Coturnix japonica: one gene and its partners. The protein of the gene in region 1 purifies or fractionates together with the protein of each later gene. This does not show direct contact. Links are inferred from orthologs where the notes say so. Each region holds a gene or a part of one and is shown in the gene's direction. Other genes may lie near its edges.

The links.
Region 2: the proteins of ARHGDIA (region 1) and RHOC purify together in Homo sapiens (affinity purification with mass spectrometry; 4 studies listed by BioGRID and IntAct, with this or other methods). This does not show direct contact. The link is inferred for Coturnix japonica from reciprocal best matches to the Homo sapiens genes ARHGDIA and RHOC.
Region 3: the proteins of ARHGDIA (region 1) and EZR purify together in Homo sapiens (co-purification; 3 studies listed by BioGRID and IntAct, with this or other methods). This does not show direct contact. The link is inferred for Coturnix japonica from reciprocal best matches to the Homo sapiens genes ARHGDIA and EZR.

The regions. Positions count from the first base shown.
Region 1 is NC_029533.1:4,445,859-4,456,268, forward strand, and holds the start of ARHGDIA (rho GDP-dissociation inhibitor 1), read left to right. Parts: upstream 1-5,466; 5' UTR 5,467-5,584; intron 5,585-10,119; 5' UTR 10,120-10,139; coding exon 10,140-10,329; intron 10,330-10,410. Other genes in the region: NPB (neuropeptide B), read right to left, coding at 52-249; ANAPC11 (anaphase-promoting complex subunit 11), read right to left, coding at 391-536, 757-865; ALYREF (THO complex subunit 4), read left to right, coding at 1,041-1,271, 1,463-1,594, 3,674-3,821, 3,916-3,979, 4,133-4,310, 5,084-5,098. UniProt on the Homo sapiens protein: Controls Rho proteins homeostasis. Regulates the GDP/GTP exchange reaction of the Rho proteins by inhibiting the dissociation of GDP from them, and the subsequent binding of GTP to them.
Region 2 is NC_029541.1:3,628,508-3,639,024, reverse strand, and holds RHOC (rho-related GTP-binding protein RhoC), read left to right. Parts: upstream 1-5,227; 5' UTR 5,228-5,353; intron 5,354-7,928; exon of another isoform or gene 7,929-7,947; intron 7,948-8,037; exon of another isoform or gene 8,038-8,056; intron 8,057-8,365; 5' UTR 8,366-8,367; coding exon 8,368-8,523; intron 8,524-8,710; coding exon 8,711-8,831; intron 8,832-9,183; coding exon 9,184-9,314; intron 9,315-9,479; coding exon 9,480-9,653; 3' UTR 9,654-10,096; downstream 10,097-10,517. Other genes in the region: PPM1J (protein phosphatase 1J), read left to right, coding at 145-271, 375-674, 1,034-1,146, 1,725-1,809, 2,218-2,336, 2,444-2,507, 2,721-2,828, 2,959-3,110 and 1 more. UniProt on the Homo sapiens protein: Regulates a signal transduction pathway linking plasma membrane receptors to the assembly of focal adhesions and actin stress fibers.
Region 3 is NC_029518.1:47,134,814-47,145,346, reverse strand, and holds the start of EZR (ezrin), read left to right. Parts: upstream 1-3,931; 5' UTR 3,932-4,052; coding exon 4,053-4,064; intron 4,065-4,070; exon of another isoform or gene 4,071-5,018; intron 5,019-5,200; exon of another isoform or gene 5,201-6,499; intron 6,500-10,533. UniProt on the Homo sapiens protein: Probably involved in connections of major cytoskeletal structures to the plasma membrane. In epithelial cells, required for the formation of microvilli and membrane ruffles on the apical pole. Along with PLEKHG6, required for normal macropinocytosis.

The DNA.
Region 1 (10,410 bases):
GGGCATTCCTGGTACCAGCCCGTTCCTGGAGCGGAGCATCCCGGTACTCACCGCGGTGCGGAGCGGAGCAGCGGCACCTCTGCTGTCGGAGCGGCGGCTGTAGGGCAGGCGGCGGAGACCGGAGAGCAGCCCCGAGGCTCTGCCCACCGGGTAGGAGAGCGGAGCGGCCGCCTGCCGGTACCAGGGCGCGGCGGGGCGGCACAGCAGCATCACGGCTACAGCCAGAGTCAGGCAGCGGGCGGCTCGCATCGTGCCGGCGGGGGCGCAGCGCTGCGGAACGGCCGCTCCGGGTCTTTATGGCCGCGGCCGCCCCCGCCGCGCAGCACGAGGGAAAGCGCCGCTCCCCGCCCACGGAACCGGGACCGGAGCGGCGGGAGGAGGCGGGGAGGATCATTCCTTGAACTTCCACTCCTGGCGGCACATGGGGCAGTGCTGCTGGACCTGCTGCGAGTGCAGCCACTTGAGGATGCAGTGCATGTGGAAACAGTGCGAGCACTGCCCCCACACCAGCGGGCAGTCGTCCCCGGGCACTTTGCCTGCGGCGTGGACACAAAGTCAGGAAGGGCCGGGTCGCACCGGACCGGGTACCATACCGGGTACAGTACCGGGTACGGGACCGGGTACCGGACCGGGTACGGGACCGGGTACCATACCGAGTACCATACCGGGTACCGGACCGGGTACCATACCGGGTACCATACCGAGTACCATACCCGGTACCGGACCGGGTACCGTGCCGGGCCCCGCCGCACTCACAGTCGGGGCAGCAGCCGTTGAAGGCCATGCGGCAGATCCCGCAGTTCTCGTCGTTCGCCACCCACAGCCACGAGGCGACTCCGCTCCAGCTCCGCACCTTCACCCTCATCGCCGCCGGAAGTGCCGCTCTCCGGTCCGCGCCGCCCCGCCGGAAGTACCGCCCGCCGCCCCCACGAGGCCCCGCCAATCTGAACGCGCGCCTCCGCCCGCCGGTCCCGCCTCTTCCGCTTCCGGCGTCGGCGCAGCGCGGCCGGAAGCGCAGGCCCCGGAGCGGAGCCGCCATCATGGCCGACAAGATGGACATGTCCCTGGACGATATCATTAAGCTCAACCGAAGCCAACGCGGCGGCGGTCGGGGCGGCGGCCGGGGAGGCCGGGGCCGAGGCGGCGTCACCCGCGGGGGCGGGCCCGGTCGGGGCGGCGTGGGAGCCGGGCGAGCGGGCGGCGGCCCCGTGAGGAACAGGCCGGTGATGGCCCGGGGCGGCGGCAGGAATCGGCCCGCGCCGTACAGCCGGGTACGGGACGGGGGCGGGGGCGGAGCCCGGTCGGCGGGGCCCGGAGGGAGGGGGCCGGTGTGCGGGGCGGGGGGCGGCGGTTCGTGGACGGGGCGGGGGCGGTGGGACGGGCGGCCCTTTGTCCGTTGCCGGCGGTCGAGCCGTCCCGGCGGGACCCGGCGGCGCTCAGCGAAACGTCCGTGTCGTTCCAGCCGAAGCAGCTCCCCGAGAAGTGGCAGCACGATCTGTTCGACAGCGGCTTCGGGGCCGGCGCCGGGGTGGAGACCGGCGGGAAGCTGCTCGTCTCCAACTTGGACTTCGGCGTCTCAGATGCGGATATCCAGGTACGGGCTCGGCGCTGTTCCCGGGGGGTTTCATTCATTCCATCGGTGCTGGGTGCTGGGGGTGGCCATAGAGCATTGCTGGCCCTGCTCCCATTGGAAGGGCCCTTCACACGGTGCCTGGCCCTTTGCTTCACGCACTGCTGGGGCTCTGAGCTGAGCAGTTGGAGTGGCTGGATTCAGAAGAGTCCCAGTCTTTATGGAGCTGTAGGTAATCACATATGAAATATCTCTACCACGATGCTGTGGGGGGGATGTTGCCTTCGCTCAGTCCTGCTGTGATTGCAGAGCTTAGCACAGGCTGTGTGAGCTTTTAAGGTCTGTGTAATTCCAGACGTTCAGTAGCTCTATATATACATCTATTGGCGCTGTTTTCATAGTACCTGTTTATGTACTTTTTGTTAAAGTTTTGTTCAGTCTCAAGGTGTTCTTATAGAAGCACCAGTGATATTGAGAAGTCTGGTCTGTGAGGGGGTACCTGCTCGCTCATGTTGTCATTTCCACAATTACCACATGTATCTTATGACAGATAAATGTTCTAGCTGAGTTACCAGCTGCAGCTCAATCCCTTGTTCCAGCTGTGCCCTGGGTGCAGGCTGTTTGCAGTCACTGTGCCTGTGACACAGCAGTCACAGCTGTGGGGCTGCTCTTACTTGTGGGCAACAAGTTGTGCAGAAACATCTGCAGATCCAAGGAGCATCCAATCTGAAGGGTTTTCCTGACTTAGTCACATTGCAAAGAGCTTTGGATGGTTTCTGGTCCTTGCATCTCCTCTAGAAAAAAATAACTAAATCACTTCTATGTTTTCTTCTGTTAATTCATTCCGGTTCAACCTGTCTGCATCAGGAGTATTGGAAGTGAGCTTTTTTAGGTCACCTAGTTATTGAGCGATGCACTTAAAACCACTGTTTTTTCCTCAAGTGAGTTTAGTTTCAGTTGATATACATTTCCTGTTTGCTGTAATCAGGCCCAAACGTGTAAAAGTGAATCTGTAAAGTTATCTCAATGTAAGGAATTAATGTGTTTTGTGTGGCAGTTGAATGTTTCCTTTTCACAGTTGGCTTGAACTGCAGGAGCAGACAAACATCTGTGTATATTATATGTAGCAGCAAAGCTGACTTAATGGGTTTGTACCTCTTTGTTACTGCCCATCCCGTAATTTTCCACTAAGCTGCACTGATTGTTTTCTTTGTTTCTGTGCTGATTGTGTCATTAATATGGTTCTGCTCAGCTCAGTGCTGAGGAATGAGGGGCTTGGTGGGAGCCTCGTTCACGTTGCTCTTGTAGGAGTATGTGTGGTGCTGTGGCTCCAGCTTCTCTGCAGGACAGGGATGTGATGGAGCACCTCTCCTCCCATGTGGTGCTGTCTTCCAGAAAGCTTGTTGGGTGCTGTATGTTCATGTTTAGTAAATGGACACAGTAGAGAAACTCACTGACAGGCTTGCATAAAGTGCAGCTGGCTTAAGAAGTGAAAATATTTATATGCTCCTTTCAAATGCTTGGATAGGAATTATAGAGATGGCTGGAATAGTGTTTGGGCTCTGCTGCAGGTGATATGGAAGGCAGCCTGTGGTGTCTGCTTTGGACACCTGACAATTCTGTGTGCTTCAAACATTTGAAGAGTGGGGTGTAGGTATAAACTTGCAAAGTAGTGAGATGTCCCCAGATGTACATCTTAGATGTAGCCTCTGTGAAACAAAATGGGTGGCTCCACTGTTGCAGCCTTCCATCGCTCGTGATGGTAAACGATGCTCTTCAGTAGAAGATTTCCTGCTTTCAGTTTATACAGACTGGCAATGTCCCTGGGAAGAGGAGCAGGTCAGCATACCTTGGGGCCACTTTGTTGGCTGTATACAAGCACCCTTCAAGTGGTGGATATGAAATCCTGTTTGTTTCTGCCACCTGTGGCTGCTTTCTGGAAGTCTTTAGTGGCCTGTGTTCCTTCTTTCACTGGTGCTATTTGCGTGGTGTCATGGAATGTACATGATATTGCTGAAAGCAGGAGCTGCCTGCACCTTCTCTGGGCTGCTCGGTGTTTGCAGAGCTGACTGAAGCATATTCACTTCTCCCTCTGTTTCTCAGGAACTCTTTGCGGAATTTGGGACCTTGAAGAAGGCAGCAGTGCACTACGACAGATCCGGACGCAGTCTAGGAACAGCAGATGTGCATTTTGAAAGGAAAGCAGATGCTCTGAAAGCTATGAAGCAGTACAATGGAGTCCCCTTGGATGGTGAGTCTCTGTGGCTGTCGTGTGCTTCTCTGCACGGCTGATGGCATCTGTGTGCCTGCCACACTCACAGGGTAACTGGCTGCTTTTCCTGCAGGGCGCCCCATGAACATTCAGCTGGTTACATCACAGATAGATACACAGAGGAGACCAGCACAGAGGTGAGAAGCCGCGGGAGTCGCTGTGCCAGTCAGCACGGGGAGTGAACTGGCCTGTGTAGGAAGCATGGAATCCTCCTCGTGTCCTGCAACCTTCTGAGTGCCTGTTGGGGTTAACCAGAATGCACTATAACAGTTGCTTTTTAAAAATCACAGTGTAAACAGAGGTGGAATGACCAGAAACCGTGGTGGTACAGGAGGATTTGGTGGTGGAGGTACCAGGCGAGGTAGTCGTGGTGGGAGCAGAGGGAGAGGCAGAGGGGCTGGAAGAACTTCCAAACAGCAGCTCTCTGCAGAAGAACTAGATGCACAGCTGGATGCTTACAATGCCAGGGTAAGTGCTGCTCACATGATGGTCACGGGTACCTACAGCGTCCTTTTGATAAACACTGGCAGCTGGCTGGAAAGAGAAATTGTTTTTCAGGTCATTTGACTTAAATAGCCTCCCTCTAAAGCTGAGCATTGCCCTGTTCCTTCAGCTGCCTTAGCTCTCCACATCTACTGTTACTCATGAGTAATAAATAGCCCCTTTTCCAACTTCTCCTGGCTTGTTGAAGCCTGTGTCAACCAGAATTGGCAGTAATCAAGATGTGTGATGAACGAAAGCTATGAACCAAAGCCCAAAGGGATAATAGGCTGGAAAAATGAAAAGCAAAAAGAAAAAACACATAAAATAACCAGCTTGGTGCTAAGAAAGGAAAAAAAGTCAATGATGCTGATCACCCCTAATGCAGGTGGATGAGCAGAGCAGTGCACATGGTTTCTTTCATTCAGAATGAGCTCAGATATTGTGCCACAACAAGACTAAAGTCTTAACTGAGAATCAGTTAAGAAGTGATGCAGGGACTTGGCCCAAGCACTGAGGTGCAGTTTAGGTCTGCTCAGTGTGTGCTGTGGATTGGGCTGCATCTCCGCCATTGAGGCAGCAGCATCCTGGGGTTGGCAGGCAGGGCTGGGGGGTGTCAGGGTTGGGGATGGAGCTGGGGGGTTGTGGGGCCATGGTGGGTTGTGGGGTCATGGTGGGTTATGGGGCCGTGGTGGGTTATGGGGCCATGGTGGGTTATGGGGTCATGGTGGCTGCTGACGCTCCTCTCTGTTCTCTTCCAGATGGACACCAGCTAAAGCGTTGAGCGGCGCATGGAAGGACTGCAGACATCTCATTCCATGCTGTGTGGCGGGAGGGGTGTGCGACTGTGGCTACTAATATCAAGGATGGGATTTGTTTTACTTTTATGTTTTGGAATAGGTTTTAAACTCATGTAAAGGTTTTTTTTAATTCTGAAGCCAGACCCGTTTTGTACCGAGTTATTTTTGGGATAAATTTTACTGGTTGCCTGTTGGGCCGAGGTGGCTTTTTCACCTTTGCCGTAATAAAATAGAACCGTGTCTAGAGCTCCGCCTGCTCCCTGCCGCGCGCTCCTTTCCCGCGCCCGCGCTGCGCGGCGAACGCGCGCGTACTCCCTGAGCCAATCAGAACGCAGCGTCGAGGCAGGAAGTGAGGAGCGGGACACGCCCTCGTATAACGGGAAGTGACGGGCGTGTCCCGGAAGTGCGGGGGTGCGCGGGCGGCTGGGCGGATCCCGGCGGCGTTGGACCGCGGCGCGGACGGTGAGAGCGGCCGGGACGGCGGGACCGGGCGGGGCGGGGCCAAGGGAGCGGGGCGGGGGGCGCCGGGATCCGCCATGTGCGCTGCGGCCGGGCCGGGTCCCGCGGGCTCAGCGCCACGCCAGGGTCCGGGGCGCGGCCGAGGGGGCAGCGGGCGCCGTCCGGGTGCGCGGCGGGGAGCGGAGCGAAGAGCGGCGCCTTCGTGCCTTGAGGCCGCCCCGGCCGCCGCTGTCGGACCGGAGCCGGGTGGGGACCCGCTGGCTTCAAATAGATTCTCCATAAATGGTTTCGAGCTTTGAAAGGAGGAACTTGAAGGCGACTTCCCCACGGTTGGGTTCGTTTGGCGTTAGAGCCGAGACGTCGGTGCAGCACCGGGTGCAGGATGGAGGATGGAGCGGCAGTGAGCGCTGTCCGGGCTGCGGGGCCTCATGGCCGTGCCGGAAGGATGGTGCCGTTTCCCTGCCTGGGCGGGCGCGTTGCGTGAAGCCGTGACTTCCTTCTCTTAAAGAGCTCTCGGTTGTAGCACTCAATTATCGCTGTGAGAGCTTCAGGTCCCGGCCGTAGTGCTCTATATAGTGCTCTATGGGCTCGGTTCTCTTGCAGTGGTCCCGTTCTTGTCCCAGAGATGCTGAGTGGCGGCCGCTTCCACGTGGTGCCCAGGAGACATTTGCAGCTCCTGCAGTGTGGTCGTGCTGTAGCTCTGCAGTCGTTGTACTTACAGGTGCATAGTGCTCACCGTGCAGCTTGTTTGAGTACGAGGCTGCAAGGGCTTCTTAAATCCGATAAGCAGTGGGAGCTGTCTGCTCGTTCTCGGGTGATGCTCGTGGCAGGTGATACCTGCAGGTGTTGTGCAGTGCAGGGCAGTGTCACCAGCACGGTGCACAACTGCGGATCTGGCTGCAGAGCACCTGGCAGCAGCTGCTGTGCGACCCACAGCTCCTCCCCACGCCTGGAGCTGTGACAGGGATCAGCCTTAGGGCAAGGCGGGAGATCTCCATGCTCATAAAGCAGCTCAGCAATGCTGTGGGAGCACCCAGCGCTGTGCTCCTGAGGCTAAACCTGCCTGCAGGCAGCACTGGGGGGGGGTCACTGCTCTGCTGCTGCCACGCAATTAGACCTGGCTCTGGGCAAGCTCACGTCTGGCCCCTCGAGCTGCCATCATACGGGGTGTCTGTGCTGCTTGAACTGGTTTTAGCAGCTCTTGCTTCCTGTTTCTGCAGCACAGCAGCTTATGCAGCCCTGAGATGAACCAGGGTGGTTGAACCGACCTGTGTGGGAAGTAACCTTGCAGAAAGCCACATTGGATTCCAAGTGGCTTTGCTGTGCAGCTTCATCAGCTTTCCCTTGTGCTGCAGCGAAAAAAGGAAGGGTGTGGACTGCTTGAATTGGCGCTGTGTGTGTCCGTGGCTGAGCTGAGGCCTGACGGATGTCCGAAGCCAATTAGGTCATCTGTAAAGACTCTGACCACTCTTATGTCACTGCACAAGTACCTTGGGATCGTGGCCCTGGCATGTAAAGAAATCACTGCTCATCCCTGCCTGATAACGGTGTTCTTTTCCTAGCAGTGTTTCTATCTGGCAGAAGGTGGGGCTCGTGTGTTCACTGCTGTTCGCTCCTTGGTATCGAACTAAAAATACTGAGAGAACTCAGGAGAAACTGCTGACTTCAGGAAGCGGCGCAGGCAGCTGAGTGCAGATCTGCAGATGGGAAATAATTTGGTTTCTGCTGCTTTCTGCAGGCCCCAGTAACCAGCAGAGCTTCCATTTCCAGACATTCTGGGACATCCCTGAGGCCGCAGTGCTCTCCTGTGGTTGAGTGCAGGGTGGCACAGAGGCAGCAGCTGCACTGTTCTGTGAGCCAGGTGTGTCTGCAGTCAGAGCCATGGGCTCGGGCGGTGCCGCACAGGGTGTGCAGGTGCCTTCCGGGTTTCAAAGTTGCTGAGGGGGAATTCCTTGCAGAGGCCTTGGGGTGGTGCCTGGGTGTGAGGCTCAGGGCTGAAGGTGCCATTGCTGCTGGAGGTTGGTGTTCTGGGAGGTTTCAGTCACGAGGCTGAGCCCTCTGAAGGGGTTGTGGCCTCAGGTCCCCGTTCCTCTGCCCCCACCTCTGCAGCAGCATGTGCTGGAGCCATGATCCTACAGGACGTTGGGCATGGCATGAGATGGATGCCCGACCCAGTGTTCCAGTGTGTTGAGTCCCTCAGCTCTGCTCTGCCTAGCAGTACGACAGCTCCTCCTGCATGCACCCGACCAGCTCTGTTCTACTCATTCTAGGCTGTAGGAAATGCATTGTTATAGAAGCACGGAGCAGCCTGATGCTGCTGGGAGCCTCCTTTCTCCCTGGCAGAATACTCAGGGCAGCAGCTGAGCACTGTGATGTGAGGCTGCACAATGCTGTGTGCTGGGAGCAGGGTCAGCCGGGCGCAGTGGGAGCACGATGCCATCAGAACACTGCAGCAGAGGGGCTGTGGTGCAGCCAGCTCCATGAGGCTCCTCCAGGCCTCGCTGCACATTTTTCCTGTGCTTCCTTGCAGAGCTGAGACCCAGCCTGTCTTGAGCTGCTGTTTGGAACATTGCTTGCTGTTTCTGGTAACTTTGGGTCAGTTTGAAGAGCCACTTTTCACCCATGGACTTCCATGGGGTGCTCGTGGGGGAGGGAGGGGAGGGGTGAAGTCTGGCTTGGAGCTGAAACTGAGGGCAAAATGAGATTAAGCACTGGAACAAATGCTTGAGTGAGTGTTTGTTGAACACTTTTGGGAGCCTTCAAGCCTGGAAGCTTTCTTGGATGGGAGCCTAAAGGAAATGACTGGTTTCGATATGGATTTTCTAGGGTGAGAGCTACTCGGTTGCTCATGTATGGCATAAGATTTGAATGTAAATTTCCATGGCAATCAGTGCCAGGGACCTGGAGAATCCCTTTCTGCTGGTAGAGCTCAGTCAGGTTTTGATGCCCGCTGCAAGTACCCTTTGTGCACCCATGTTGGTGCCCCAGCCTCCCTGGGAGGTGCTGCCAGCCCAGGGCAGCTCAGATTTGCTCTTGTGTTTGGCTGGGGGTTCACCCACACGGGATCTGACAGCACCTCATCTCAGTGCCAGCATTGAGCTACAGCCCTGGTGCTGTGCTGGAGGCCGCTCTCATACCCTGGATCAGCCATAGTCATCAGGCAGAGATGTGCAACATATCACTCTAATTTGTCTCCTTGGCAGAACATTCCTAATATTTATGGCTAAAAACACCATCTACACATACCTCTGCTGTTGTGCTCTTGCAGCTGTCGCCAGGCTCAAGATGGAGGCAGACACAACTTGTCTTGTGTCACTGCACAATGTGCTCTGTGAGCTGTGTGTGCTCAGTGCCAGCGCTCAGGTTTTTCTCTCCCTGTCTGGGTGACACATTGGGTAGGAATGAAGTCGTTGAGTTAAGGGCTGTTATGTCAGCTAGTTCCAAGAGGAGAAGAGCAAATAGCAGTTGGCTTACGTAGCATAGCCTGTGCTGCAGACTTTGGGTTTTCCTTTACAAGTCAGCATTTCTGGATGTATCCTGGTCTTCTGTGGGGGCACGTGGAGATCAGAATTAAGATCATAGTGTTGATTTATTTGGAAACTGGATGGCAGAGCAAAGAATGCAGTTTTCCAGTCTGAGTCATGTGTGCTGATACACGACTCCAGACAGGAATGCAGAATGGGACGTGGAAATGCCAGGTAATAACGGGAATACCTGCATCCATCTGCACGTCATTTGTGGAGGATTTTGTCTGAGAAGCCTTTCAAAAGTTGTCAGCTGAGTGTTTTTAAGCCCTCAGAGCAGTCCAAGCTGATGTTTGCTGTAGGATCACCCGTAGGGCAGCACTCCTTGTGATGCATCAGGAATTACTGACACTTTTTCCTGGTGTTTTGATGGCTGTTGGACCAGCTCTCAGCTGGGTGTTTCCTGGTTACACTGTGCTCTGGGGCTTACAAAGCAGTGCCAATCTACACACCGGTCTTCAACCCATGTGTTTGCCCAGCTCTGTGACACATATCTTTGGAAAGGATCAGGATGAGGTCAGCTGAGCCAGGTGTCTCCTTCCATTGTAGATTCTGATTGAATTACAAACTGTGAGCTCCAGATTGCAGCTGAGGCTTCTGGCATTTGGGCCAGCGGTGGGGCTGGGCCTGTTCTTCTCCTCACCAGGTTGTACTATGGAGAAGCAGAACTGAACTGGGTTTATTCTGGGCTCAAGCTGATTGCAAGTGAAAGCATCACTGAGCTGTTCATGTGGAGGAGTTGTTTTTTTCTATGGCGTGGGCTATTTCTCTGTTGCAGCTGCTGAACAAAGCACAGAGGCTGATTACTTTTCCCAATCCTCTTGTAAGGGCTGAAAATGGGATCTTGGCTGCCGAGGGCAGGCTGGGGGGGGCACAGGTCCTTGACAGCAATGTGCCTCTGGAGTGGGGAACCTGGTGGGAGAGGGACCTGTGGAGTCAGGGCTGTTTTGGGATGGCTGGTTTATGCCAATATGCAGCAGATAGCTACAGTTAAACGTCTCCTCCCTGCTTCAGTGTAACTCGCGTGTGTGAAGATGGCAGAGCAGGAGCCAACAGCAGAGCAGCTGGCCCAAATCGCAGCTGAGAATGAGGAGGACGAACACTCCGTCAACTATAAGCCACCTGCCCAGAAGAGCATCCAGGAGATCCAGGAGTTGGACAAGGATGATGAGAGTCTGCGCAAGTACAAGGAGGCACTGCTCGGTGCTGTCACCGTGACTGCAGGTGAGCTCCACCTCTGGCTCCCCGGCCTCAGCTCTGCTCCTGTCTGGGAGCTGTTCTCTCCCCAGCTCTTTGTGACTTGGT
Region 2 (10,517 bases), on another chromosome or scaffold:
AGTGGTGGGGATGGAGGAATTTGGTGCTGCTGGGGTCACCTCTGCTGCTTGTGAGCTGGGCTGGTGTTTTGCAGTGTCTCTGGGTGAGCCCTGGTATTTCCAGTGCAAAAGGGAGAACCCTAATGCTTTGTTCCCTCCTGGCAGGGTGATAAATGCAGGGAAGAGCCAGCACAACGAGGACCAGGCGTGCTGCGAGGTGGTGTTTGTGGAGAGGAGGCCCAGCCCCAGGGGCCGCCTGCCCTGCAGGGATGGCAGTGGGGAGCCCAACAGGGTGAGGGCATAGTGGGAGGCTGCTCCTCTAACAGCTATAACCCTCTGCTCCTGTCCACCTGCTCCCTTGCAGGCATCACTGAGCCCCCCATCTCTCCCCACAGGGCAGGAAGGGGTTTTATTTCCACTACTGGGCCCTGTTTGATGGACATGCAGGCAGCGGTGCTGCTGTCATGGCATCCAAGAGGCTGCACCTACATATCTGTGAGCAGCTGCGGGACCTGGTGGACATCCTACAGGACCCTTCCCCACCTCCCATCTGCCTGCAGCACGACTCTGAGCTGAGCCAGGCAGAGGACAATGGGGATGTCCCTAGTGATGCTCTGCCACGCTTTCACCTGGAGAAGGCAGTTTCCCATGAGAGCCTGGTGATCGGTGCCATTGAGAATGCCTTCAAACACATGGTGAGCTGCAGCTGCTGACTGGCAGCATTTGCTTTGCTCCTGTCTCCTCCCTGGTCTGCAGGGCAGCTCCTGCCCTATTGCTCTGCCTCATTTTGGGGGCACAAAACACACAGGCTTTGGGCTCTGTGTGTGAAGACGGTTTCACTGGGCTTTGTTCCAGCTGCTGCCTCCTCCGCAGTGCTGGGGAGGCTGTGTCCTGGGCTGCACACAAGACCTTGGGGTGAGCAGGGCGATGTGCCCAGCCTCAGCTGGCAGCCAGGGTGCTGACAGGGCAGCTCAGAGCTATTTCGGACTCCTTGGAGCTCTGCTTGCTGGCAAGGGCTGCTTCCCATTCTGCCCACAGCTCTCCATCTCTCCAGGACGAGCAGATCGAGCAGGAACGGGCATCCCAGCACATCTCTGGGGGCTGCTGTGCCCTGGCTGTTGTCTACCTCATGGGCAAGTTCTACGTGGCCAACGCTGGTGACAGCAGGTACGTATGGCCCCAGCCAGACTGAGGTGCACCTCAGTTTCCACACTGTGCTGTCTGTGTGTGTCTGCAGCACTGAGGGAGCTGCAGAATTCCTTCCCCACCTCTGGCACTTGATCCCTGCCTTCCCAGGGATTGCACCAAACCCCACCAGAGCTGGGCTCACCTGGGCCCTGCAGGGGATCTTTAGCCCTCGGCAGGACAGCAAGTAGGACAGGTGGGCCAGAAGTGTCAAGAGATCCCCAACTCCCTGGGACCTCCAGGAACATCTCATAAGCAGCCATTTTTTAAGCCATCCAAACCTCAGCCCTCCTGCAGGGAGCTCAACCCCAGTGCTGGGCACTTGCACCCATGTCCTGCTGCTGGCAACTTCTGCCTACGCTGCACGAGGTGGAGGCTTAATAACCTTTGTGCTGCTTCTCTTCCAACCATAGTTTGCCTTCCATTTGCCCCATGCTTCTCTTCCATTTCCCCGTCTTCCCTCCCCTGCCCTGGGTGCTGGGCTGCAGGGCTCGGCTGGTGGGCAGTGGGGAGAGGACCTCTCCTCTTCTCTAACCTCATCCTTCCATGTCTCATTGCAGGGCCATTATCATCCGTAACGGGGAAATCATTCCAATGTCCAGGGAGTTTACTCCAGAGACAGAGAGGCAGAGGCTACAGTTCTTAGTAAGGAAGACCTTTCTTCTAACCTGACTCCTGCTCACCCACCTCCTGAGCCCTGCCTGAGGCTGCCCCTCTTGCTGCTGGGCACTGAGGAGGTGTTTATGTTAGAGGAGGTCGTGCTGGATGGGATTTCCTGCCTTGCAGCATATCTGAGAGAGCACCGTGCTACTTTTTCTCATGTCTGTGTTTGAATGACTGAGGGGAAGAAGTTGCTGTAAGCAAGATCCTCCCCAGCTGTGATGCACTCATGGGCAGAGGGCCAGGCGTTGTGCTTGCTCCACTGCACAGTAGCTGGGCTGTGGCCAGGGCTCTCTGTGCCTGAGCACCAACACTGCCATAAGTCAAAGGGTGGTGCTGGGCAGGACCCTGCTCTCCCATTGCTGCAGCTGAGCTCTCTGCCCCTTCCTGCAGGCGTTCCTGAGACCTGAGCTGCTGGGAAAGGAGTTCACGCACCTTGAGTTCCCCCGCAGGATTCAGCCCAAGGAGCTGGGGAAGAAGATGCTGTACAGAGACCAGAGCATGAACGGCTGGTACTGTGCTGTCTGGGTCTGCCACAGCTCCAGCCCCTTCCCCATGTACCAAAGGGGTCTCATCCCAGGGCACTGGCCAACAGGTTGCTTCTGCTTGTTTCATACAGGGCTTACAAAAAGATCGAAGAGGATGACCTGAAGTTTCCACTAATCTATGGGGAAGGCAAAAAGGTACAATGCTGGGATGTGAGGGGAGGGGTCCCTGCTGCCCTGGGAGGTGGGGGCCCTGGCACTGTGCAGGGGTCATCCCCTGTCTGCCCTTGCTGAAATGGGGGTCCCAGCCCATTTTTCCCAGTGCTGTCAGGGTGCCAATGCCATGTGTATCATCTCTTCTCCCAGAGGTGAGGTAGCTTAAAGCTTGCTTTTGATTTTGCCTTTCTCCAGGCTCGGGTGATGGCCACTATTGGGGTGACGCGGGGTCTGGGAGACCACGACCTCAAGGTGTTCAGCTCCAACATCCACATTAAGCCTTTCCTGTCCTGCTTTCCAGAGGTGAGCCCAAAGGCTCTTGTGATGGCTGGAGCTGATTGGGGTGATCTCAGAGAGTGCTCAATGCACCTGGTGGTGTTGGGATGTCCATGAGCCCACTATCACCCTCATGTCCTGTCCCAATGTTTCCCAGGTCAGGGTGTATGACCTCACACAGTATGAACACTGCCCCGATGATGTCCTGGTCCTGGGTACTGATGGGCTCTGGGATGTCACCAATGACAAGGAAGTGGCCAGCGTGGTGATGGAGGTGCTGACAAGCTATGAGCCCAATGACCCGTGCAGGTGAGGGGGAGACAGACAGGTATGTCCTGCACCATAGCATCTTGCTTGGAGCAGTGTTGTGGCCACATATCCCTCTGTACACAGTGCTCCTCTGTATGCATGTATCTGAGCTTTCCCAGACCCACTTCCCTGCCCCTTTGGCTCCCTCAGCTTCTCCTTCACCCTGGGGACAGCAGTGGGGTGCAGCACGATGCCTGCTGGGCTGGGGCTGACCACTGTTCTCTGCCCAGGTACACCATGGTGGCCCAGGAGCTGGTGCTGCGCTCCAGGGGCATCCTGAAGGAGCGAGGCTGGCGGCTGCCCAACGACAAGCTGGGCTCTGGCGATGACATCTCTGTGTTTGTGATCCCATTGGGTGGCCCTGGCAACTACATGTGATAATCTGTCAGCACTGGGCAGAGGGGTCACACTGCCTGGATGGCCATGAGCAGGATGCTGGCACTGCACAAGGCACCGCTCACTCCAGCACTCAATTCCTGAGCTGACCACAAGAAGAATGAGGATCTTGGAGCCTCCTGCCCAAAGCACCCCCCTCACCTACTGCATCCCTGCCCTGTGTAGAGATGGAAGGACAGAGCAGAGACTGGGCTCAAGGGCTGGTTTTCTTGGTTGCTGTGAAAAGCCTCAGTGCTCTCTGGCTTCTCCGTGCATGCTCAGCACCTCGCCCTGGTCCAGGTGTGCTGGTTACAGCCCTATGACTGGGCTCTGAGTGCCTGTACCCGGTGAAGTCTGTGCTTTCTCCTGCAATCACCTCCTTTTCCTTCCCTGTGACATTTACACCATGGATGCTGAAGCTTCTGCCTTGGGGTGGGTGTGGATTGGGGTCCTGCTGGCAGTGGGATAGTGTCCATCCCAGCTGCAGGTGCTGTGAGCCCTAAGGATACCCCAGTCCTGTGCTTGCCCTCTTTGGCTCCTGGGCCCTGTCCTCAGCTGGGCACACTACCTTGGTCTCAGGTTTCAGTGGACGTGACAGGGCTCAGTCACAGAGCACCTGGGAGGAAATGAGCTGTTGCACTCTCATGGTGTTTGCCAGCCCCTGGCTGTGCCATGGGCTCTGCCCACCACCTCTCTTCATGCCTTGGATCACTGCTGTATTTCTAGAGCCAATTATTTATTATTAACTGGAGAGCTGAGCTGGAAAGTGTCTGAATTCCTTCTTGGTGTGAGGTGGCAGTCGGTATGAATATAGGTCTGTTATTTCTGAGCGGTTCTAATTTGGCAACTGCCGAGCAGCAGTTACAGAGCAGCCCCGTTCAGCCAAGCTTAACAGCTTAAAATGCTGCATGAATCTGCTTAGCTGGGGGTTGGAAGCCTGCAATAAAAGCAGCTTGGTTGTGGCTGGGAAATAGGGTGGGCTGGTTTTTCCCCAGACTCGGAGCTGGTTCTGGGCAGGGCTGTAGCTGCAGTTGTTTTCTCTGCAGTATCCTGCATCTGCTATACCTCTCACCTGGGGGATGATGAGTTTCCTGCACCTCTGCAGTGTTGCACCCTGCAAAGCACAAAGCGAGACGTAAATAAACTGGGTGCACTTAGTGGGGAGTGAAAGTTATCCCGTGACATTTGTACCTGTGTGCATCATTGTGCATCTCTGTGTCGCAGGGGGATGATGCTGGGGTTGAAGGAGCTGCCCTTGTGTGGTTCAATAAAGCTCGTGCCGCTCGCAGTTCCACCTCAGCGCCTTTCTTGCGGAGCTCCCGCAAAGACGACTAACTTCAAAGCCAATTAGCGCTGATTAATTCGTGTAGGCAGGTTGGGTGCCATGTGAGCCGCTGTCCCTCCTCCCTTGCGTTGCTCCCACCCGGGGCTGCGGGGTTGGGGCTGCGCTGCCCGGTGCCCCCACGGCTGCCGGCCGGGGAGGGGCATAGCGGGCAGAGGCTGAATTTAGCGCTTCCTCTGCGGTTCCCTTCTTTACTAAAGAAACGTTTCCTTTGGAGCCAGCTGCTGGCCCGGGGAGGGATAAATTAAGGAGAACGCGTCTCCGAAATCTTAAAATAGAAACGACTTACAGGGCATGGCCTGGGCTCCGACGTAACCCCGCTGCCAGGGCGGGGCAGGAGCTGGGCTGGGAGTGGAGCCCCCGGCACACCACGGCTCGGCTCGGTTCGGTTCAGCTCCGCCCCTCAGCGGGCGGCCCCAAAACGGGGCGGTGCTGCCGGAGCCGGGCTGTGGGGCTGGGGTTGGAGCCGGCATCGGGACCGGGAGAGGGAGCCGTGCCGTGCCGTGCCGTGCCGTGCCCTAGAGAGGTACGGGTTGTGCTCGGGATGCGGGCGCTGCGGGGAGCTCAAGGGGTGCGGGGATCGCTATTGGGGGCTTGCGGGGTTATGATGGGACTGAGCGCGTAGCGGTGCGCCATGGGGCGGTGCTGCGTGCGGTCCCGGTCGGGCCGGGTCCCGGAGGCGAAGAGGGGTTGGAGCCGTCCCGCACGGAGCCGCCTCCGATACAGCAGCGCTGTATTTTCTTCGTGAAAGGATAAAAGTTCGCTTTGCTTAGAGCTGAGCTCATTTGTAAACATTTATACAAGGGGGGCAGACGGAGGAGCAGAAACAATTGTGCAATGTCTCAGAGCAGAAAAGCATTCCAGAACCATGAGCAACCCCGGCGCTCCAGCACCAAATCGGGCAGCGACCGCCCGATCCCCCCCGACACTATAAGGCCGTCTGCGCTCCCATTTCCTCCTTCCCAGCGCCTTGCCTTGAATCTATGGTCCTCTCTAGCACGGTTACAGCTGCGTGAGATTTTATGTGCTTTAAATTGACTCCTGACAGCTTCGGCTTGTCCAGGGAAACGTTTCATAGGTAGCTATTGGGATGATGCCAGTGGATATTGGGTGTGCTTAACCTGGCTCGCTTGGCAGCTCAGAGCATGTGCCAGGATGGGGCTGTGTGTGAACATGGGAAGTCCGGAATGTGTTTGCAAATAGGGATCAGCTGTGAGGCACAAACACAACCACCTGCCTGGCCTGGGAGTGTCATCTGGCAGATACTGGTGCTGCTACAGCTGGGGAAGGTGCTTCTGTGGGATGGAAGATAAGAACGTGGTGGATGGAGGAGGTGGGGACAGCGTGGGGCTCCTGAGGCAGCAGTAGTGCTGCAGCAGGCTGAGTTCTCAGTGTATCCAGCTGAAATACAGCACTTGAGGAGCCTTGCTGGTTCATTGACCGTGTATAAACTGTTGGCATCTCTTCTTTAGCCCAGTGATGTGTAAAAGTAGGAGGCTGTGGCTGCAGTCCTGAAGCCAGAGCTGTGAGTTTCAGTCTAAGAGGCTTTGTGCACATGTGATGTTTTTGCTGCCTTGGATGTCATCCTGAAACAGAAGACATTTAAATGGGTTACAGTAAGACTCCAAGCGCCGGTCAGGGTTGGTATCATGTGTTGGTTTCACAGTATCTGCCCAGTGAGCACCAGCACTGCGGGGTGTGCAGCTCTGGGTTTGCTGGGCAGCAATGCCACGTGTTTTCCCACAGAGTGCTCCCAGCTCAAGCCCAGTTTGGGTTTTAACATTCTTCTGCTCCAAATCCCTTTCTTTGCTTTGCTTGTGGATGTTTTTGTGGGATTTGGCAATGAAAACTGCCTGCTCTGCCCCTTGTCTGCAGAGCAGCCCTGATCCGCTGCTGTGTTGTTGCTTGGTGTAGCACAGTGTGTCTGATCAGACCTTAGGAACAGCTCCAAGCTTTCGCAACCGGGACCCCAAAGCCTGAACTTCCTTGCTGCTGTGCTGTGCCTTGGTGTCACTGCTCCTTCCCAGCTGTTTTTGGAATCTTGTTCTGCTTCTGAGGCTCCCCCCATTCCTGAACCTTGCCAGGAACTCATCCTGTGCCGTGGGACTTTCTGCTGGAGTCGTGATGATTGCAATGTGCCTCTGTCACTGTCCCCAAATACCTTCCCTTTAACTCTGGGCTCAGCTGCAGCCCTGAAGCACTCCAGGGATGCTCCGTGCCCACCCTGGGCTGCACCTCCCCCAGGGCCTGTCCCGATATGACCCTGCCTGGCGTGCGTTGGGGTGCGGCTGCAGCCCTTTGAACACACAAAGCCATGTTTAGAAGTGGAGACTGCTGTCCTTGGCTGCACTGGTTGGAAAGCGCCGTTTGTGTTCCCTGCTGGGGTTTCGTGCTCTTTGGGTGCTGCAGGATTCCTTAGGTCTCCTCTGTGTCACAGGTTGTGCTGCCTGAGCGCCTGAGGGAGTGAAACCCAGCGAACTGCATGGTGATGTTCTAGCCTTGAGCCTGGTTTGTGCTGTGATTAGCCCAGCTCCTTCCAAACAGGAGTAAATCCAAACAGTCTGAGTGCCCAGGACGCTTGTTTGTTAAACACTGAGGTTCAGCAGAGGCTGCAGACACAGCAATACCAGGCAGATGGAGACGGCTGCTCTCCTTGGAGATCTGTTTGCCCCCCATAGATGTGCAGTGCTGTGGGGTCAGGGCTGGTGTGATGGGCTTTGGGGATGGGGTCTCAGGAGGAGAGGCCAGCGGGAAGGTTTCTGTCCCTGGACCGATCCCTTCTTCAAAGCACTGACGTCATTTTGTGCCATTTCCTGAGGTTCAGGAACAGAAACTGGGTGAAAGATGCATCCTACCAGGAATTCCCCATTTCCTGCTCAGCAGGAATTTCAGTTTTTGAGGCACGAAGCTCAGCCTGAAGCTGAGCTCCTCCTGAAGCAGCTGTGCCAGAGCCCTTGCTGTGTTACTGGTGGTGACCTTAGAATAGCTACTTGGTGCCACTCTGGGTGCCCACAGGGATAGGGCAGCCTGAGGGGCACCGTGGCTGCACTACTCCCCACCTCCTCCCTGCTGTTTGGAGGCTGGCTGTGTGTTAGCAATGGGCTATTTCTGGGCTGCTGGGTGAGTAATGGAATGAATTGTGCTGAGATTTTGGGCGGGGACAGGGCCTCTGCCCTGTGAGTCACTGCAGCCTTGGGCAGGGCTCAGGGTGATGCTGACCCCTCCCCAGGTTAGGATGGATGCAGCCCCCGGCAGCTCTGGGGCCCCACCAGTGGATTGCAGTGGGCTGCAGCCTCCTCTGCACGGAGCAGAGTGTGCCTGCATGGGGACTGAAGCATGAGCTGTCATCATGTGCCTTGTCTGGGGTTTCTGTGGGGATGTTGAATTGATGGGATCATCTACAGGGCCTAAGAAATGGCTCAGGCTCTGTGTTGAGGTTTCAGAGGAGTTGGAGATGCCAAAGAACTGTTGGACCTGGCAGCAGTCCTGGTGCAGCTGCAGCCTGTAGCCCCATTCACCCTCATTCTTGTCCTTGCAGTGATGGCAGCCATCAGGAAGAAGCTGGTGATTGTGGGCGATGGTGCCTGCGGGAAGACGTGCCTGCTGATCGTCTTCAGCAAAGACCAGTTCCCTGAGGTCTATGTGCCAACCGTGTTTGAGAACTACATTGCCGATATTGAGGTGGATGGGAAGCAGGTAAGGACCCTGCCCTGTGCAGGTGGTGATGGGATGCTGCATTTGAGAGTGAGCCCTGCAGCACCCTTGTTTTTGGGTTACCCCAGTTTGCAAAGGACCCTCCTCACTGCAGATGAGGAAGACTAAGTACCCTATGAGCTGCCTGGTGGGGTCTGTAAGGTGCTGAGTGATGTCTTTCTGCCCACAGGTGGAGCTGGCACTATGGGACACAGCTGGGCAGGAGGACTATGACCGGCTGCGGCCTCTTTCATACCCGGACACCGATGTCATCCTCATGTGCTTTTCTATTGACAGCCCAGACAGCCTCGGTAGGGAGCAGGGGGTGCATCATGGGGTCCTGTTGGCTGAGATTCTGCTGGCATAGTGGGTTCTGGGAAGTCCATATGCCACTCTGGGGGTGTTAAGTCTCTCATTCCACCCCCAGCTTTTTCCTTACTCCAGGAAGATGCTGGGAACTGGTGCACAATGGAGGTGCTGGGAGAGGCTGCTCTGTGCCCAGCTGGGGGGTGGTTTTGGGGATCAGCAAAGGCATTTTTCCCTGCTCCCCTTCACAGCGCAGGGCTGCAGCTTGTCGTGCTCTCCTCCTGCCCTGCATGGAGCAGCAGCACTGCTGTGTGTCCCAATGCCCCATAGCTCATAGCTGCACTCTGCTCCTCGCAGAGAACATCCCTGAGAAGTGGACCCCGGAGGTGAAGCACTTCTGCCCCAACGTGCCTATCATCTTGGTAGGAAACAAGAAGGACCTACGCAATGATGAGCACACGAGGCGAGAACTAGCAAAGATGAAGCAGGTGAGGTTGGGTGTGTGCTCAGTGGGGTGCCAGTGCTGGGATCCCCTCACCCTGGGCTATTTTGCTGGGGCTTCCCTCCTGCAGCCCTGATCTGGGCATGGAGGATGCCCTGAAGGCTTCTTGCTCCTGGTGGTATTTCCAACCCTCCTTTTTAATGCTGCCCAGGAGCCTGTGAAACCAGAGGAGGGGAGAGACATGGCCAACCGGATCAATGCCTTCGGCTACCTCGAGTGCTCAGCCAAGACCAAGGAAGGAGTGCGGGAGGTCTTTGAGATGGCCACACGTGCAGGGCTGCAGGTCCGCAAGAACAAGAAGCGCCGGGGCTGCCCGCTGCTGTGAGCAGGGAGGGCTCTGCTCCATGCCTGTCCCCAACCCTCTGCCCCAGAGCTGTCCCCAGCCATTGGGGGCACCCCTGTGCCACGCTGGGGGGCGATGCCTTCGTTCCCCATCACTCCCTATGGGCTGTGTGGTCTCCCTGCCTTGAGCAGGGTTGGCAGAAGCGGGGGCTGCTGGCTGCTCCCCCTGCAGTGTGCTGGCCCCATCTGCCCCATGGCCTTTTATATGGACTCACCTGGGCTGTGCTCAGCCCTGTCCTGCAGTGCTGTGCTGTGAGGAGTGCCAGCAGTGCCCTGCACCCTGGGACTGCCCCAGGGCAATGCCTTGTCCCCATGTCCAGCATTAGAATGATGGTGCCTTCTTCGAGTCCATGGCCCTCACAGACTCTTAGCACCAGCTGAGTAACTGGGAGAAATAAATACAAACTGGTATGTGAGTAATTGTAACACTGCGTGTGTGGCATCCCTCTGGCTGCCCCTGCAGACCCTGTGCTGCTCCCACGCAGCGCCCAGGACTCAATAACAGAGTGTTTTTCTCTGAACATTTATTCCAAGGACACAAAGGTAGGTGTGCTGCACGTGGCTCAGCCTGCGGGCTGGGGCCAGAAGTCACAGCACAATTGATTTTTCTACAGATGTATAAAAAACACTGCTGAAGATTTAAAAAAGATAAAACATTGGTGGTCCCGGGGTTCAACTACAGCCCTATGCAGGAGAGCTGATAGGACCCATCCTGGTGCACAGCCTGGCTCCAAAGGGAAGAGCAGGAGGTGGCTGTGGGATGGGGCTGGGCTGGAGATGCTGGAGCTCCATGGGGCTGTGCTGGGCTCCTGCACAGGGATGGGGAGCGGCAGAGAGAGAGCAGCTC
Region 3 (10,533 bases), on another chromosome or scaffold:
TAAATTTGTTTTCATTAATAAAATCAATAATTCACTGTGGATTTCAGTCACACAGACGATTACCATAGATTTTTTTTGCTTGATCACATGCATGTTTAAACTGTTTTTATCTAGTACGTCTCTGTACAATTCATTGATGGTCAAGCGGAGCGTCATGTAATCTCAAGGAGCAATTGTGGGTGCAGCTTGAAAACAAAATGATTGCAAAGATAAGGGTCTTCCAGCATGTAACTGCTGGATCATTTAACAGTGTTTATTTCCAGGCCTCAATTCGCCTAACCATTTCTTAGCACAAACTCACACTGGAAAAACACATTAACTGAACTTGGCAGAAGCTTCTCATTTAAGGAATAACAAAAAAATCAGGAACAAGCTTTGAGCTCTTTCACCATGTGTATCCCCTTCGAAAGAAACAAAAGAAACCTGGAGAATGTCAACAGTGCTGTGAAAGAAAACGCTCGTCCTCTGTGACCTGAATTTGTCGGGTTTTCATTAGGCTCAGTGTGGGCAGAGTAAGGAAGGAGCTCTCAGTTCAAGCAGAACTGGAACTCGACAGATCCTTGGCTGCTCTTCCTGGAGCGTGACAGTGCAGGAATTACAATGCCAATGTTTCAGGAATTCTAACTGGGAATGAACTGCCTATTCACAGTCATGCACAACGAAACAGAAGCTACTGTCAGTAATACCATATGACTACTTTCCTCCTACAGCTCTTAGAATTGACAAAGAAAACTATCCTCTTGATTTTAAACCTATATGAAGTGGCTCAGAATGTGGTATCCTTTCTTTTATCTGCTATGTTGACTGCCTGGACTTTAAGTTGTCAAAAGTAAGTCACTCTATGTTTCTAGTTAGAAAAAAATCCCAGGAGTAAAACTGCAAACAAATCACCAGAGATGCTGCAAGACTATTCCAACCATGCTTGGAAAATTGGGATCACACTTCCTATATTCAGAAACAAGAAACCATTGATTTTGTGTGTGCAAGCAAGAATGGTGTTTTTAGGACATAAGAGTCCACGCTTCCTAATTTCAGGATAATCACACTTAGGAAGATGTATTTTAACTAAAACATGGCTAGTGCCAAATCTGTTAAGCAAAACCACTTTATACTGATCCTGTCCAATTCTTTGAATTCATCAGTGCTTTATATCAAGTTGAAACAAGCAGAACAGCAAGATTAAATTGATTTCTCCTTAAAACAGATGGAAGGTCTTAAAATACAGTTTGGTTAGAGGGCAGTAAGGCACGGGAGCTGTTACAGGGAGCAAAACAGAAACTGGGTCCTGCTACTGACCTGCTGAGCAATTTAGGTCCTTTCATCACCTCCCCAGCTTTAGTAATTCCTGTAAGTTGTTAGTAATGCCATACTCTTAATAGAGCAGGTTAAGAACAAGTGTTGGATCAGTGCAGCTGTTAATCCTGTAACTTAAAGACTTCATTTTGATTTGGGTCTTATGCTCGATTGTGAGGTCTAGCACAAAATGCTGTAGTTAAAGTGCCCATAAAAGCTTTCTCTTGCTTAGCCAATACCTAAATCCAGAACCAACTGTGTTTCCTTTTATTATCTTATTTTTCAAATGTAAATTTTCCAAGCTTCTACATTTCAATCTGTTTTTTCATCTTTCTACTTCTACCCTAAACTGGCCTGATGAGAGCTGATTTCATGCCTGCTCTCATGTTCCTTTGCTCCTGACTCAAATGGCAATTCAGCCTGTAAGCATTATCAGATAGTGTAGTGTATTACACGTGATGCCCATGCTCCAAAAACTCAGCATGCTGTCAGGACACTATCAAGAAAGCCACAGAACTGAGAGCTTTCATCCCTTCTTTGGAGACTAAGCTAGTCTCCAAAGCTAGTCTGAGTTTAACTGTATCTGCAAAGGATGAATAGACTTTTGTATAAAAGGGAAGGAAGGGGTAGGATTATATACATTCCCATCCATTTGGGGAGGAAAGTAGGGAGTGAAATGTAAAGGAAGAAACTCGGGGACCCACAAGAGGGTTCCCTCACTTCAACAAAGACAACTTGCCGCCCTTCTGAACTAAGAGTTTAGTAACTCTCAGTGCTCTGTAGCCAAGGTGGTTTGAAAACACACCTTGCAAAAGGCAAAAGCCCAGGAAGGAGGTTAAGGGTCTCTGGCGAACGCTCTAACATGGCAATTGTTCTTTTCCTTCCACAGATGACAGTTCTGCCTGTCTGGGTTCAACATGTTCTCGTTGGTTGGGTTTGGGTGGAGCGGTGTTGAGTAAGCTGGTAGTTATGGATACCATTGAGGTATCTATCTTTCCCCATATATTGCAGGTGATTGTGGGAGAATGGCACAGGGTTATGTGCTGTGGCAAACAGGAACCTAGAGATTGTATGTTGCCACATTTAATTATTAGTCACCTAGATTCCTTTTGCCTCTGCTTCTTTGTAGTTAGGAAGCAATAGTAACTGCAATAAAAATTCTTCAGTTCTTCAATCAAGCCAAAATACGGTATTAATGGTAAGGAATGAAAATACCTACATGCCTTTTGCACCTATATGCCCCTCAAAAATAATCCAAGACCACCACATAGGGTTCTGAGCGAAGAGTGGCAACAACTAAGTTCTTATATTCCTTACCATTGCTTCTTGGGCTCAGCAGTCATATTCTGGCCTGCTTCACATCTAATACCATCCTACTGAATAAGGTGTGAGTCCCACCATAAACTTATTGCTTAAAAGAAGTCTCCTCACATACCATATGTTGTTAAATTAATCTGATTAAAGCTCATCCCAGTGGGATTGTTCTACCTGAAACCAGAGGCTGTAGCTGTTTCCCAGAAGTGTTTTATCTCATCTCCCTCAGAAGCCATTTAGCTTTGATTGTTTTTTCCTCACCTGCTGTTGCAAGCTGCTTCACATATGGCTCAGTTTTGACAGTAAGGCCCTCTCCTGCTTCCTAGGATCATGCAACAAGAAGGGAATATAGCTGTGAGTTCTACCAGTCTCTGCACCCCTCCCTTCTCTCAAATTTAAAGCAAAGGCAATTACCTCAATTGAATGTGGCACTACCAGTGACTGCCTAGTACTATCTGATACGGGACCTGGAGGAAAACTCAGGGCCGTGTTTTTGTTACTGTCCCTTGGCATTCCCCAGGGTCTCCACAACCCTTATCTTTGACACGTGCTGGCTGTTACCTTGTTTTGAAGCTTCCTTTCTTGAAATGAGGATGTTGAAGACAGCAGCTCGGATCTGCACGTTTCCTTACCCTCGCAGCTCACCCACATGCCATTGCCGGCACACCGGAAGACCTGTGTCCTATGGTCCGTTGCCTGTGACAACGTAAATACGATCTGTTCTCACACCCCAGCGGGCGGGAGGCCACAGCTCCTGCAGGCAAAGCACCTGGGGGCTGTGCAGGAGCAGGGCAGTGGATGAAGGGTGGGTATAGGCACAGACAGCGTGTCATCCATCTCTGCGTGTCTGCGAATCGGTTGGTTGGTTGCACAATCCTGATCTCAGAGCACGGCCAGCTGGAGCAGCCTGCTCACTGTATAGTTTTTAAACTTAGGTGGATTTTCAGACTTTTATTTCATGCTGAAAACGTGCTTTAATACAAAAAACCATTCTGCCTTTTGCTTGAAGAGGAGGCAGGGGCAGGTGCCGGTGCCGGTCGCCATGTTGCGGTGAGGGTCTCCCGCTTCTGGCCGGGCACGGGGCGTGGGCCGCACCTGTTGCATCGCTCCAAGGGCGCTCCCACCCGGGCCGGGGTCCTCGGTCCTCGCCCTGGGGTCTGGAAGCGCGGCCGGCTGGGCGTCGGGCCGCTGGGCGAGGCCGCCCCGTGCTCGCAGAGCGAGGGGGGGAGCGGTGGGGAATGGCCGGTGGCGGGTGAGTCACCCGCGGCCCCACCTGCTACTTAACTGCCGCCGGGCGGCCGGCGCCGCACTCGCGGGTTGTGCCGTCGCCGTGGCAGGGAGCGGCTCTCATTCCTCCTCCCCTTCACAGGGCGCTCGGCTGAGGCGGGGCAGCTGCTGCATGAGCGTTGCTCACTGGAGCCGGGGAAGCACTGACAGCGCTGAAAATGCCGAAACCGGTAAGTGAGGCGCGGGGGCTGCCCGCGTGTCCGGTGGGGTCGTGCCTCCCGTTGGATGAAGCCGCGCCGGGGCTCCGCCAAGGGCGCCCAGGGAAGCTCCGTGAGGCGCGGACGGAGCCGCGAGGTCCCGCGGAAGCTCCGGAGCCGCCCGAAAGGCAGCTTCGAACGGGAGGAGCGGGCGGAACGGCTCGGCGGCTCGATTCAAACGCGGAACCGCCCTAGGGAGCCATGCTGAAACTTGGGCCGCTCGCCCAGCGGCGGTTGGAGGGGAGGGCCGCGCCCCGGGGCTGCTCAATGCCGTGCCCGGCAGGGAGCCGGCCAAGGCCGGGAGGCTGCGGGCCTCGGAGCGCCCCGACCGGGATCAGGGGTGCTCGTCGGGCGCCGAAAGGAAGGGCTTAGTGTGCTGCCAGGTCCGTGAGGTGGCGAAACAGCACCGGCTCTCACTTGGTATTTGTGAATGCTGAATGACAGGTCCTCGTTTCTTGCCTTCGTGATTAAAAACTTAAGGTTCAGGGGATCATTGTACCGCTCCCCACGGTGCTACCGCTGGGTCTGTTGCCAGGTAGCCTCTAACAGTCTTCGTTAAAGCGTTTCTGTTCTTTGCTTTCCTTTTTTTTCAGTTGAACCAACTTGAATACCTTCAAACTTTCTTGTTGTGGGAGCCCCCTCCTGCGTCGGTTTGCTCATGGTTTTGTTTTTTTTTCAGACTGTTTTGCTTTGAATTCTGCTGCCACCCTGGCAGTTAGAAACGGTAATTCCCTTGAGGAGCTGGCTGGTGCAGAGCTGCCTGTGCTCATGGAAGCAGACAGCTTTGGAACTCTGAAGAGCATAACCAGAGCAGATTGTGGCTGTCTGTTTCCAACAGAGGCAGCACTTAAAGCACAGCACAGTAAAGAACTTCCAAGATTATTAGCTACACCCTTTGGAAGGAGACTAGACGAGCTTATCCTTGGGGTAATGAGCAATGGATGTTCTGCTACTGTAACGCTGAATTTAACTTAGTTAAGAAGAGCTTAGATTAATTTACACTGCAGATTCTGTAAACTTAGGGGGAACAAATGAGGAAAAAAACTCTTCCTTTGAATTCTTTGAAGAGTGCTAAATCTTCATTCTCCCTGGATGTATTTAATCAACAGGAGGCGATATTGGAAGCCATGAGTAGGTGTGGGAAAAATCTCTTTATCTCTCTGCGGAAGGACAGCCATGCTTTAATGGTTTCTGAGACGTGACCTACTGTCCGGGATATATGGAGAAGACTCTGTTCAGTTTGTGTGGAATAAGCTCTTCTTTTTGCAACCTGCATTCGGTCCCCACCTTTCAATGGGGCTGACTGCCACCTTAGTGAATGCAGATGAGGAGAATTCTGTGGAGGATGTCTGAACAGAATGCTTTGGTCTGACTGCTGCAGATCGAGACGGTGTGTTTGGATCCTTCAAATCCAGCTCATTTGTTCTTAGTGCAGCTAAATAGGATTCCTATCACTTTGCAGGGTGAGGTAGGGACGGGTGTGAAGTTGTCGCTCCAGAGCAGAACTGTGCTCAGAAGGAGAATGATAAGAGCCTTTGATGTGTGTGGGGACTGATACCGTGAACTCGTAGGAAATGAAGAGGCAGTTTTTGTTTGATAGGTCAAATACAAAGGTACAAAATAGATTCTACCTACACTTGTTCATGTGTGTCTTGTCAGCTTGGCATAAGTAAATACAATGTTGTTTGGCAGACCTCGTGCTGATAGGGATGTGGTTTTACAAGCCGGTCATCGGTTGTCATCTTAAACATTTTATGTCTAAGCAGATAATTACCACCACGGTTTCAGCATTTGCTTTCTACCTGTCCCCAAAGCAATGAAGGTAAACTTCCATACAGAGCTTTTGTTGTTAGAAAAAATACGTGCACAGAGAGCTTACAGACTGGAATTCAGTCTTTCACACTAAATAAGTCCAGTGAGAGTAAAACATGAGTGATTTTGTATTTTAGTAATGTACCATAGTGAAGTACTAGAAAGCCAAGTGCACGCCAGGTTCTGTACCGGTGCTTTATCGCTGTTTGTTGGATCAGACACACGTCTAGAGTGCTCAAAATAAATCTTGGCAACGTTTCAGGAAATAATTCTGAGATCTTTGATAATAAAGACAACTGTTAATTCCTAATTTATAATTAAACACAGACTTTCTGCCACGTATAACAGTTATAGAGTAACGAGATCACTGGGGTGTGCTGTAAATATGTAACTTCTGGTTCTCAGCTCTTAAGGGTTTTAGGTGGAAATTCACCAGCAGTTCAGAAGCTGAACTTCCATCTAGTCTGAATGATAGTTCATAAGGTTTCACAAATGGTAAATTATTGCATAAAGAAACAGAAGAGATGTTATCTTGTCCAAATCTTGCTTTGTTTTCTGAGAACAAGCAAAGTGTGCAATAAACTGACTTGATCAGCGTTGCATCTTTTCTTTACTGAAGTGTCTGTGTGTGCACTGTGTTTTCCCTTGATCTGTATGTTACTAGCTTATTTCTGTTTGACTCATTGCATGGATGGTGTTCCAGCTGAATTACATCCTTTGGCAAAGCAAGCCAGTCACATAGAGCCACAGGGCTGCGGGCTACTGAGCATTACTTACAGAAGGAGAAGGAAATGTGATCTCTGCTCCAGAGACCTGTTAATTTGATCTGACCTATCAGCATTCTGTGGTCCTTTTTTGAAAGTAGATTATTCTTTCTCCTCTTAGGAAATCTTGAGAGGGGAAAGGAAGCATCACAAGAAATGATGTCAGCTTTGCAGTAGAGCATTTCAAGTAATGCCACACGAGAACCTTTAATACATCTGTGTTTTTGTAACAGTCTTAAAGATAGGTCAGCAATACATGCAGTCTATCAACTTCTGGTGCTAAAAGAGAATACAGGGAGAATATCCAGGCACCATTTTCTAATGTGTTTAATAATAGCTTATGTTCAGAGAGCTGAGCATACCAACAATACCTGCCAGTGTTGGGGGGCATAGTGTTGATGCAGAGAGCCATCATATGTAGGAGTAGAAAGCACATATGTTATAAAACAAACTAAAAACACCAAAACCTATCCTAATAATAATTAGTTAATTAATAATAATTAAACTTGGAGGTGTGGTGGAAAGAGGTCCCTCAATGTGTAGAACAGATTGATATGAATTAGTTGTTGATAGGATGGACTGTCTTGTCCATTGATCTGCAATGTGTGGGGTTTCCCTGATGGAAAGCACTAATAGAAGGTGTTAGGAAAATTCTTGAAGATAGGTTGTCGTTTCTGTTTTTGTCCAGAAAACACAAATTCTAAGCAGAACCTGGAGAAGGATTTGGGGTTGATTGTAGGAGGAAGGCCTCCTCGCAAAAGGGGAGATAGTTTAGTTTAAAATATGAAGGATTTAACTATCAAAGAAAGGGAGGATTTGCTTTAGGCAAGGCTTATAGTTAAGGGGACTTGTGAATATCAGAGCAGTTCAGTTTCTGGTTGCTTTCTCCCCTTGGAGTGTTCTAAGACCTAATGCCCTTAATTAAGATAAAGTCTGATGAGGACACATTGTAGTGCTGCTGCCTGTAGGAGTGTGCAGCTGGAACTGATGACTCAAAAGGCTTTTCCCAGTCCTGTGTTATTAATGTTCTAGTGTGTGCCTGGCACCAAGTGGTTAGACAAGTCCTCCATACCTGTTTGTTATTGAATATACATGCATTCTAAAAATGGACATGAGGACGGCATGTAAGTCTTCAAGGCAAACCTTTATCGGTCTGTGAACGCTTAATGGCATTACAATTCAATGTTTGTCATAAGCCAACCGGAAGAGCTAGAAGTGTAGCAACAGGGATTTACTCTAAAAACTAATAATCATTGATATTTTCTAGATCTTCCCAATTTTGTCTTAACTGTGTCTTCTAACTGCACGTGATAGTTTGGTCTTCAATTTCTTCACAGCAGATTTCTATAACAGGGCTGAAATAAAAAGAAAAACCTTTAGAGATAGTAAGTAATTAACATACTCTTAGCTTATGGGTAGCTATGGATTTATGCAGTAATAAGATAGGTTTTTTTTCTTGTGAGCACAAATTGCAATATGTCAGATGATACGGTATTTAGTGTGGTTGATACCAAGGGTGCACACAGTGGTGCAAAATGGAAGAAACTTAATATCAACCAATTGTGCAGTCTCACCCCAGGCTTCAAAAGGAAGTTGAAGGATTCTACTATTAGTAAGTGTAGGGAATAGTTAACAAATAGTTAAAGGTGGAAGAGAATGAGCTCACAATTGTGCCAAAATCCAAATTACTGTATGAGCTGAATAAGCATTCCTGAGGTCAGTCTGTTCTTGCTAGCTGCCTTAGAGAAATCAAGTGTTAACTGTTCACGTTAGACACTACTTAAAGAATTTCTCGGCCTTCTTGAAGGACAGAGGGTGGAGATAAGCCTTCCTGTTCTCCTTCCGTCCATGTGAACGTCCTCCTCTGTTCTCAGTAAATAAATAAATAAAAAATCAGTGACATGTCAGGACTTTTTGAGAATAATTCTTCTTGATGCCTACTGAAGGTTCCTGCTTCAGCGTCGTTGTTGTTTGGCACGCTGTGTCCGAAGGGCTTTATGTGCACTGTAAATCCCATAATCACTCAATTGACCTTGAAGGAAGGCAGTGCTGCCTAAGATCGTTGAACCACACTACGCACTGTTAAGTAATATATCTTGGCTGTGCCGCGGGGTTGTTTTTGAAACCTGGTTTCAGCATTAGGTAATACTTAGTCTCTGAGCTGAGAAATGCTTCTCCATGGAAGCAACTGAAGTTTCAGGCTTTTACTGAGCAGTGCACAGAATTTTTTCCTTCTAGGAAGAGGAAACAGTCCTTTCCATGTGAGTCTATAAAGAAGGCTTAGGTTGGCGTTACAATTAAGTACATTGCCTCTACTCTGCGTATTTGTTCAGATCCAGGTTTTGTTTCTAGCCACTGCTTCATAGTGTCTTGATGAGTTACCTGTCTTCAGCTTTGAGAGAGCATGGGTAACGTGTGCTGAGCTGGGACTAATGAGCATCTGACACCATCAGCTGCCAATTAAAATAAAAATCCCAAGTCAGAATTAAACCCAGGACTCTGAACTTCTGAGAGAGGGGGAGAAACTGTTTCTTAGCAGCAGTGACTGTTGTGTTTGGCTGTCTGTTGTGTAGGTACCATGGAAGAGGTGCTGGGACTCCTTGTACAGCTTCTGTAACCTTTGCTAGTTCTGAGTTTTCAGTGTGGAATTGCCACATCATCTTATGTGGCAATTGTTTCTCTTCAGCTTCCATGAGCAAGTGCTCTAGTTATTGTGTAAAGCTGAGAGACATCACTACCACGGTCTCTTTCTTGATTTTTCCACATGGAAACATCCAGATTTGCTGTTGCAGTCCAGCCTTGATGTGGGATGTGTGTGAGAGGCTTCTCTGGGGATGCCAGTGTGTGCACACCCAGCTGATAATGTTGAACTAAATGGTGATTCTCAGTTCTGCCAAGAGACCAGCATTCGGCAGGTGCATAGAGCAGATCTGCAGCCTGCCTGCTAAGTAAAGAAATGGGATCTGAAGAATCTCCTTCTTGTACTAGGGTGCCTGAATTTTGCCTGACCAGCCCAGTAGGGGACTTCAAAGACTGTTGTAGGATCTTGGTTGCGGAGTTCTTTGTCAGAGCTAAAGTTATTCTTTAACATATAGAATACGCTTTAATTGTGAAAGCTTAGCTGGATTAACTTTTTTATCTTTGTAAATAGGTAATTATACCATGTTCCTGATGGTTGAAATGTGCAAACTGGCAGGTGGGTTCCATAACTGATCTGTAACTCAGAGTGGGAGAAAACAGCTTCCTCTCTTAAAAACTGCTGCAGCCTTGCAGGCAAAGTTTCCAGAGTTACGTTTTTTGCCCCCTTTCTGAATTGCTGTACTTGTTGCTTCAGTAGTGAAGGACCTGTGTAGTTTCATCTCAGAAGTCCTCACACTGTTTTAGTGGTCAGAAAGGAATATTTTGCTAATCTTTCCACTAATTTTTCCTATACTATCCATTATGTCACAAGAGCAATCTGTTTGTGATTAGCTGACGTTCCAGGACTTGCAATGACCTACCTTTATCTGGGAGCAAATAGTACCTGTTGCACGCTGTTTGAAGTACCTTGTTGGGAAGTGTAAGCACTGCAGTGTAATGGACGTAGATCAGGCTGTCGAGCTATCACAGGTGATCACATCATATAATCCCTCTCATAAATTTTGCAAACGCCACGTGATGTGTTCCAACGAAGTCCATGAGATAAAATTAAAGGACCTGATTACAGAACAGGTATAACAGAAGGGTGGGGCATCAAACCAATAAATCCCTCTTTGACAAATGGATTCATAACTGGAATGCAGAATGAACATACATCATTACCTAGACTTGTGTGACATGTTACACTGCTATTTCTCCTTAAGTAAATGCAGTTTGTGTCCTTCCTC